Saccharomyces cerevisiae S288C: one gene and its partner. The protein of the gene in region 2 binds, or shares a complex with, the protein of the main gene of each other region. Each region holds a gene or a part of one and is shown on either strand. Other genes may lie near its edges. The genes, in order: PRP2 and SPP2. A codon is read from its position in the direction of its gene.

What was found.
Region 1: the proteins of SPP2 (region 2) and PRP2 are in contact, whole or in part, in a cryo-EM structure (PDB 7DCP), measured with the Saccharomyces cerevisiae proteins. Residues at the interface, in NP_014791.1 of Saccharomyces cerevisiae: Ile73 (codon at 842), Lys74 (codon at 839), Leu75 (codon at 836), Ser76 (codon at 833), Glu77 (codon at 830), Leu88 (codon at 797), Val89 (codon at 794), Glu90 (codon at 791), Val92 (codon at 785), Glu96 (codon at 773), Tyr97 (codon at 770), Asn98 (codon at 767), Val100 (codon at 761), Pro101 (codon at 758), Val102 (codon at 755), Glu103 (codon at 752), Phe105 (codon at 746), Gly106 (codon at 743), Asp107 (codon at 740), Leu109 (codon at 734), Leu110 (codon at 731), Met113 (codon at 722), Gly114 (codon at 719), Trp115 (codon at 716), Gln140 (codon at 641), Ile141 (codon at 638), His142 (codon at 635), Pro143 (codon at 632), Asp144 (codon at 629), Gly145 (codon at 626); in NP_014408.1 of Saccharomyces cerevisiae: Lys170 (codon at 2,624), Tyr171 (codon at 2,621), Asp172 (codon at 2,618), Tyr173 (codon at 2,615), Pro413 (codon at 1,895), Glu414 (codon at 1,892), Ala415 (codon at 1,889), Asn416 (codon at 1,886), Tyr417 (codon at 1,883), Ile418 (codon at 1,880), His419 (codon at 1,877), Ile422 (codon at 1,868), Thr423 (codon at 1,865), Lys454 (codon at 1,772), Ile458 (codon at 1,760), Lys461 (codon at 1,751), Leu462 (codon at 1,748), Pro519 (codon at 1,577), Gly520 (codon at 1,574), Phe521 (codon at 1,571), Thr538 (codon at 1,520), Pro540 (codon at 1,514), Phe565 (codon at 1,439), Ser569 (codon at 1,427), Leu574 (codon at 1,412), Leu595 (codon at 1,349), Thr600 (codon at 1,334), Asp601 (codon at 1,331), Leu602 (codon at 1,328), Ile603 (codon at 1,325).

The regions. Positions count from the first base shown.
Region 1 is NC_001146.8:643,820-648,991, forward strand, and holds PRP2 (DEAH-box RNA-dependent ATPase PRP2), read right to left. Parts: upstream 3,132-5,172; coding exon 501-3,131; downstream 1-500. Other genes in the region: CSE2 (Cse2p), read left to right, coding at 1-374; uridine kinase URK1, read left to right, coding at 3,613-5,118. UniProt on the Saccharomyces cerevisiae protein: Involved in pre-mRNA splicing. Is required together with ATP and at least one other factor, for the first cleavage-ligation reaction.
Region 2 is NC_001147.6:608,140-611,400, forward strand, and holds SPP2 (spliceosome ATPase-activating subunit SPP2), read right to left. Parts: upstream 1,059-3,261; coding exon 501-1,058; downstream 1-500. Other genes in the region: MDM32 (Mdm32p), read left to right, coding at 1-336; SMP3 (glycosylphosphatidylinositol-alpha 1,2 mannosyltransferase), read right to left, coding at 1,699-3,249. UniProt on the Saccharomyces cerevisiae protein: Involved in pre-mRNA splicing; specifically in the final stages of spliceosome maturation. Promotes the first step of splicing.

The DNA of each region.
Region 1 (5,172 bases), on a different chromosome or scaffold from region 2:
ATGCTGAGGCTACAAAGGAAGAATTTTCGTCTGCAGAAAATAGAGATGAAAAAGACTATCTTACCAACCAGCAGCCGAAAAATCTGAGTACTCCCTCCACCAGTTCCAACGGTGAATTTATACCGCATATTTTTTATTCGCTGCACCAAATAAGGAAGGATCCAAACAATCTCTCAAATCAATTGGAAACCTTAACAGGTTCGATTAGACATCGTTTGAAACTTTGTAAATCTTTGATATCGGAAAACGAAGATACCAAGGATTTATTAAGTAAAAGTCCATCAGAATGGCAGGATATCATCCATCAACGTGAACAAGAACTGCAAATTAAGAGAGACGTCTTGGATGATCTTTATCGCAAGTTACAACGATAAAATCTATGCTATCTATCTTTAGTCTATATATATATATATATATACATACGCATACCACATCTTCAAACGTGCATATAGAATGGAGCCTGCGTTTCTAGCAATACACATACACCTGTCAAAAAACCTTCACCGCCTCCCCCTATTTGTTTTATCGTCAATTAAATCTTTAAAGATTTGTGGAACCATGTCTATCAACCATTCTTCCTTAGGGATAACTAGACAGTCCCTGATAAATTCCTTCGACGTTAGCATCAATTGTTGATAAAGCACATATTTGCTTGGTCTCTGCGCCTTTTCCTTATGATTAACGAAAAGTATACTGGTAGGATGAACACTAACGTTCAGCCCACCTGATGACCTACCCATGGTTTGATAGCCGGTGGGGCCTAATTGTACAATATTCATCGGAAACCCGCTGATGAAGCATCGAGTTATTCTAGCATTTATGTAGCCCGCTATATTGCCTATCTTCATCCTGGCTTGGTCGTTCTTTTCAACTAATCCAACCTTTTCACTGCACCTGAATAATTGGTTTCTAATATTTCTTACCCTCAACATCGTTTTGAATTGAATTTTGTGGTCTTGACACCAACTTCTGGAAAATTTAGAGTTTCTCCATTGGTTGAAGATTTCCAAATACAATATGTGATCACTTTCCACTTCGCTTAACACACTTGCCGCAGCATCTCTTTTTTGACCAATAAATAATGAAGGTGTTTCATGTAGCATCGAAACTATGGTCAAACACTCTTCTAGTACACCTTGACATTGTTCGTGCGTAGCAGCTGTATAAAGCACTTTTGCAAATTCAGGTTCACAAGGAAACTCGCACATCATTTTACCTAACCGAGTGATTGTCCCTTTGCTATTTAAGGCACCTAAAATGTATAAATTTTCCAAAGACTTCCGTAATGTGGGGATACTGGGCTTATCCATCAGGGGAAACTTTATTAGGTCAGTAACGCCAAGCGATAATAATAATAACACCGTATTAGAAAGATTTGTTCTTGTGATCTCAGGCTTAGGCATAAGTTCCAACTCGTGCAAATATGACCATTTGGTAAAAATTCTAAAACATTTTCCCGGCCCAACACGACCAGCCCTACCGGCACGCTGATCAACTGAAGCTCTTGAGCATGGAACTGTTAAAAGTTGGGTCATTCCAGTGGAGGGTACGTACGAATTTTCCTTAACAAATCCAGGATCAATGACATATCTAATACCATCAATGGTCAATGAAGTTTCCGCAATATTAGTTGCCAAAACAACTTTCCTACAATTTTCCGGAGTCGGCTGGAAAATTTTCAATTGCTGCTCTTGGGGTAAATTTGCGTATATAGGAGTTATAATCATTTGTTTTGTTCTAGAACCTAATTTAGACATGATCTCCTCCAGTTTGGTTTTTGTTCTTTCAATTTCTTCTTGCCCCGTTAAAAACACCAATATATCCCCCGGTAAACTTTGCGTAGTATGAATTTGAAAAATAGTTGTTATAGCGGCATGTATATAGTTTGCCTCCGGCTGTAATGTGTAGTGGATATCTACAGGATATCTTCTCCCAGGAACGTTGAAAATGGGACAATTATCAAAAAACTCTGAAAATTTTTTTGCGTTCATTGTTGCTGATGATATAAGCAATTTTAAAGTGGGCCTCTGCGGCAAAATATCTTTCAGCAAACCTATCAGGATATCTGTGGCTAGAGTACGTTCATGAGCTTCATCAATCATAATACAAGAATATTTGCTTAATTTGGAATCTGTAAGAAATTCTCTTAGTAACATACCATCCGTCATATACTTTAGAACCGTTTTATTTGGGGTTGTTTTGTCTTCAAAACGGATCTGATAACCCACTTCCTTCCCAAGCACAACATTCATTTCATCTGCTACTCTTGCAGCAACAGAAGTGGCCGCCACACGACGTGGTTGTGTTATGGCAATCTGTAACTTTCCCTGATCAGTGAATCCATCTTCTACCAAATATTGGGGTAACTGTGTGGTTTTACCAGAACCGGTTTCACCCATTATAATCAAAACTTGATTTTTTTTGATCTCTTGTAGTAGCTCATCCTTGTATTGATGTACAGGCAAAAGTTTTCTTGCCTCTTGTATAGTCAGTATACGCTTTTCCTCAGTTTCTAAAGCTTGTGCTAGACGTGCCTCATATTGAAGTTTCTCTTCAGGTAGTAAATCGTCCTCCTCATTAGTATAATCAATCATTGCATCTGTGTCGAACACATAATCGTACTTGTCAGAGCCTTCCAATGTTATATCATCAGGGTGATCGCTTTGCCCCGCCATAGCATTTCGCAATTGTTGTTCTTCCCACATGCGTTGTCTGTTTATTTTGTCAATTTCTTTTGCATTCTTTATTTTATGAGTAACTTCTACGTTAAATTTAGAATTAGAAGAGGCGTACTTAGTTTCATTCTCGGAGTCACCTAGTAGACCCTTCTTTGTAGTAAGTTCATTATTTGACGTTATTTTTTCATCATACTTTGATGACTTTTTTTGTGATCCAAGTTGTTCTCCTTTTAAATTGTTCTTTTCTGGACCTTGGTTCGTATTAGAAAAAACTTTATTGGGGTCATAGCGTGATCGTTTTAGCTGCAAGGCAGAGTTCTTATCCTTGGCCTCTTTGTCTTCTTCCTCACCCAAGGAAGAAGGCTCTATTCTTACTGCATTGTCATTCTGTCTTGTAACTTCATACGTTCGTTTCACTCTTCGCTTACCGGTTTCAGATGTAATACTTGACATGTGTTGCTATACACGCTTGTTATCTATATAGATGCCAATTAAACATATAGCAGCTATCCGTTATTACTTATACAATTGATTAATATCACTTTTTAATTGTCCGGGTAACTAACTGTCTTCCACTTTCAGCACGTTCTCGTCATCAGGTTGTATGGGCTAGTACTGTTTTGGCTACATTTGAGATACGAGCACTTAAAGAATTCTTGCATATTTTCGATGATTAGTCTTTAATTTTCCCACTTGTTCTCACTATTTCCTCTATTGTCTTAATACGCTCACATATCGAAGTTTTTTTTTCATGCGATGAGCTTCGAGATGAAAAAAGGAAACTGAAAAATTTAGATCGATAAGATAAGAGATGTGATTTTTTTTTTTTTTCGTAAGGCTGTAGGCCTTGGATAACGTCTTATTTACTATTTATATGCGACATCTTCGATAATTTCATACGTTTAATTTCGAACTCGCATTTATTTTATTTATTATGTCCCATCGTATAGCACCTTCCAAAGAACGATCTTCATCATTTATTTCAATTTTAGACGATGAAACAAGAGACACATTGAAAGCTAATGCAGTCATGGATGGTGAAGTAGATGTCAAAAAAACAAAAGGAAAAAGCTCTCGGTATATCCCACCATGGACAACTCCATATATAATAGGTATAGGTGGTGCTTCAGGTTCAGGCAAGACAAGCGTTGCTGCTAAGATTGTGTCGTCAATTAATGTTCCCTGGACAGTATTAATATCTTTGGATAACTTTTACAATCCATTAGGCCCAGAGGACAGAGCCAGAGCCTTTAAAAATGAATACGATTTCGACGAGCCAAATGCCATCAACTTAGATTTGGCATATAAGTGCATTTTGAACTTAAAGGAGGGCAAAAGGACAAATATCCCAGTTTATAGCTTCGTCCACCACAATAGAGTTCCTGATAAAAATATAGTCATATACGGGGCCAGTGTGGTAGTTATCGAAGGGATCTACGCCCTTTACGATCGCCGATTGCTGGATTTGATGGACTTGAAAATTTATGTTGACGCTGATTTGGATGTCTGCTTAGCAAGAAGATTGTCGAGAGATATAGTTTCCAGAGGGAGAGATTTGGATGGTTGTATTCAACAATGGGAGAAATTTGTGAAACCAAATGCGGTAAAGTTTGTGAAACCAACAATGAAGAATGCAGATGCTATCATTCCATCGATGAGTGATAATGCTACAGCGGTAAATTTAATCATTAACCACATCAAGTCAAAACTGGAACTAAAATCAAATGAACACTTAAGAGAGCTAATCAAATTGGGCTCTTCTCCTTCACAAGATGTGCTTAATCGTAACATAATTCATGAATTGCCGCCCACCAACCAAGTTCTTTCGCTGCATACTATGCTTCTAAATAAAAATCTAAATTGCGCGGACTTTGTTTTCTACTTTGACAGGTTAGCAACAATTTTGTTATCATGGGCACTTGATGACATTCCTGTAGCACATACGAACATAATTACACCTGGTGAGCATACCATGGAAAACGTTATTGCCTGTCAATTCGATCAAGTTACAGCTGTTAATATTATTCGATCTGGCGATTGTTTTATGAAGTCTTTGAGAAAGACGATCCCCAATATCACAATTGGTAAATTGTTGATTCAGTCCGATTCACAAACTGGGGAACCTCAACTGCATTGCGAATTTTTACCCCCAAATATAGAAAAGTTTGGCAAGGTTTTCTTAATGGAAGGTCAAATCATAAGTGGTGCGGCCATGATCATGGCCATCCAGGTGCTTTTAGATCATGGTATTGATTTGGAAAAGATTAGCGTGGTGGTTTATTTGGCCACTGAAGTTGGTATCCGACGTATATTAAATGCATTTGATAACAAAGTCAACATTTTTGCTGGTATGATCATCTCCAGAGAAAAGTTACAAAATCATCAATACAAATGGGCATTGACCAGATTTTTTGATTCAAAGTATTTTGGTTGTGATTGAGAATAATTAGAGGCAATATAAAGTAAAATTAAATAATAGTGCACGTATACATAC
Region 2 (3,261 bases):
AACTCGCCAAATGTATCGATTAATAGGCAAAGGAAATCTTATCCTTTAACTACAAAAGTCACTTCCAATTCCACGAAGGAAATCATCAAGTTTCATAATCAACCAAATACTAATGCAAACGAAATTGTTTTACGCTGTAAGATGGTCAAAAACTTGTCAGATTTACAGCTTATTAACATTAATCAAATACTAGACCAAATTACCATGGAGCTATATGTTGATTTAACCAAAATAGTAGAAGATTGGGAGTTTAAAAACAAAAATGATTGGATGAAACAATGGGGTACTACCTTTGCATCCCAATTATTGTTGTTTGGGTTTGGTGCCATGGTTTGACTATTGCTTATATAATATCAAACTGAACTTCCTTGCATTTCATTTATCAAGTAAATTGAAGAAAAAATAAGAAAAAAAAGCCAAACTAAAAATACCTCCTTCGGAACATGCATAAAATATAATGTGTATATACCAAGTACTTTAAATTATATATTCAAACTTTCTCATGACTTATTTTTTTTGTCGTCATCAACTTTAGTGCCCGTTATTTTATCGATTTTTACGACGGGCATAAATGAAGCCTCCTCCACGTTTATTGCCTTATTTAACTTGGCACCAATTCCCAGTCCATCAGGATGTATCTGTGAAACATTTGAAACGTCCTTGTTTCGACTCTGTGTCTTGTCGCCTTTAGAATCTTGCTCGGAGTCACTTTCCCACCCCATACCCCGAAGTAAAGCATCTCCAAATTCCTCGACAGGTACCTCATTATATTCTTTTTCGGTGACATATTCCACCAGAGGAGCATCGTTTTTTTTGGTATCCGCATTTTCACTCAGCTTGATCACTAATTTCTTCTTAGAAGATGATTCTTCATCAAGATCGAATTTATCAATACTTTGAATCTTTATCTTACTTTGAGGTTTATGCGAAAGGCTTGCAGTTTCCGCATCATCCCAATCGAATAAGTTGGCCTTCTGTAATGAGTTTTTTTTTTTCGTCTTCTTGGAAATATTTTTTTTCAAGGTCTTACTCCCCAACTTAAGTGAAAACTTGCTCATTCTACATCCTAGATATGCCTCTAGACATTTTACCTACCATCGCTCGACGTGCATTATTACCTTAATAACTTAAAACAGCTATTCCTATATTTTTACATTTTTTTCTACGCACGGTCGGGTAACAAATGATAGCGCCAGATCATTGAGAACCCAAGTGTTGCATGTTGAACCTGCAATGCATAAATATTAGAAGCATTAGAAGCATAGTAGTATGAAGTGACTGTGACAAATGAAGCTCTGTAATTCTTAGTTTGAATAACTTGCACATGTACTATGGTCAGTATCATGTCAAGCTTGTAGTACGTGTGAACACAGATTTGGTTATGGAGTAATATAATACTTAACAGCAAGAGAACATCAATGGAGCTTTACTTAGACTTCGGGAGGTTTTCATACAGTTGTGTACTATACATAGATTAATAAGATTGCATATCAGAACTAACAATCCTATCTTGAGCTGAGTACCGAGTTTGTATCAGCCTACAATTAGAGATTTCAATGGGAAAAAATGAGTATGCAACAAATAGTTAACCATTGCTCGATTAAAGCACTCTTCTTTTTTATAAGAATACCTAGGATAAGATCATTTAAACTTAAATTCACAGCCATAATATATGCATAACTCCTCATATAGCTGGTCTTATAGTAGTTCGATGGAGTACACTGTTAGCCCTGGCTTAAAAGTCGTGAAATCATTGAAATCAAGATGATCCAAATCCAAATGGAACAAGTAATTTCTTTTGGGTATTAAGTTAATAGTGCCATCTCTCTTCAACTTTTTCAATTCTGATGTCATGGAATTGGGAGTTACTAAAGTTAGTGGAGTTATGGACCCGTTTAAACGCAGCCGCCTAATTGTTTCTGTTAAAAGTGGTAAATCACAGCCTTTAAGGTCTATTACATGATGGTTACCTACACTGAATGCCACTTCATCTATCGACTCAATACCATCCTGTGTATTGATAAGAGAAGAAACGGTTAGGTTATTGCTCATATACATCCAGGTGGGTGGTGAGTATGTTTTCCACCATATGTGAACGCCCATTTGTTCGGTACGAAAGTGGAAGTAATCTCCCAAAAATTGGATAATTCCTGCTTGATGTGAAATTCCCATGATGAACGCCATGATTATGTTAAAAAGAAGCCAAGTTCCCTTGAAAATTTTCTTGTTTACTAACGTGGAACTCAGAGGTGTCCAGTTTAAGTTTGTCACGAGTAGTGGCACTAGCGGTACAAGGAATCTTAATTCTTGATGTTGAAAGAATGAAAGAAAAAGCAGGCCAGATATGATTGCGTAAGTAGATAATTTATCGAGTTTGTAACCGGAAAAAATCGCTAGCAGCAATACTGGGCCAACTATTTGAGGTAAATTGACCAGCAGATGGGTGTATCTTGGATGTAATCCATGTACTTGCAAATTTTGGACATTGAGGTTGTATTTCAGGTTATTCAAGGGCGTAATGACAAATCCCTTTCCGTTGTTATAAATATTTGTATCAATAAGAACAAATAGACACGAGGAAAATGAAAATGAAAGTAAAAGTAAAGAAAAGGATTTCCAATGGACCCGGTAAAACTTCCAGAATAATATCAAACATGGTAAGAAAATAAATGCAGGAAAAGTAACTCTATTAAAAACACCAAAACTAAATATAAGTCCCAATATAACCGAATTTTTGAAATTACTTCTTTGAATATTTTTTTCGTTTACCATATCTTCCATTACAGTTAAAGTTGAGATTAAAGCCAGCGTTTCTATGGAATTGGAAAACGTGTGTGTTTGGTACGTCCAGGTTACGTAAGAAGTTAAAAGTAGACTTTTTTTGATGAATTGTACGGCCTTTCTCTCATCCCTTATTAATTTAGGTATTAAAAAATGATAGCACAATAGGTACATCACATAGTTTTGTAGTCTCATCGAATACAGAATTAACGCTGGGTTGTCCTGAATTTCGGGAAAAGATTCTAAAATAGTGAACAAAGGCCCGTAAACCAATAATAGGGGGCCGTAACTCCTAGCAGCAAATTTTGATTTAAATTCCCATGGGATGGTACCTTTGACCTTCATGAACTGCATAGCCAAAATCTCGATGCATTGGAAATGTTCATCTGGATGAATATACGACGGGCCTAGGCATAGCATTAGGCCGATGGCATATACTAAATAAAGCCACCATTGATACCTCATCATACACTTCCAAGT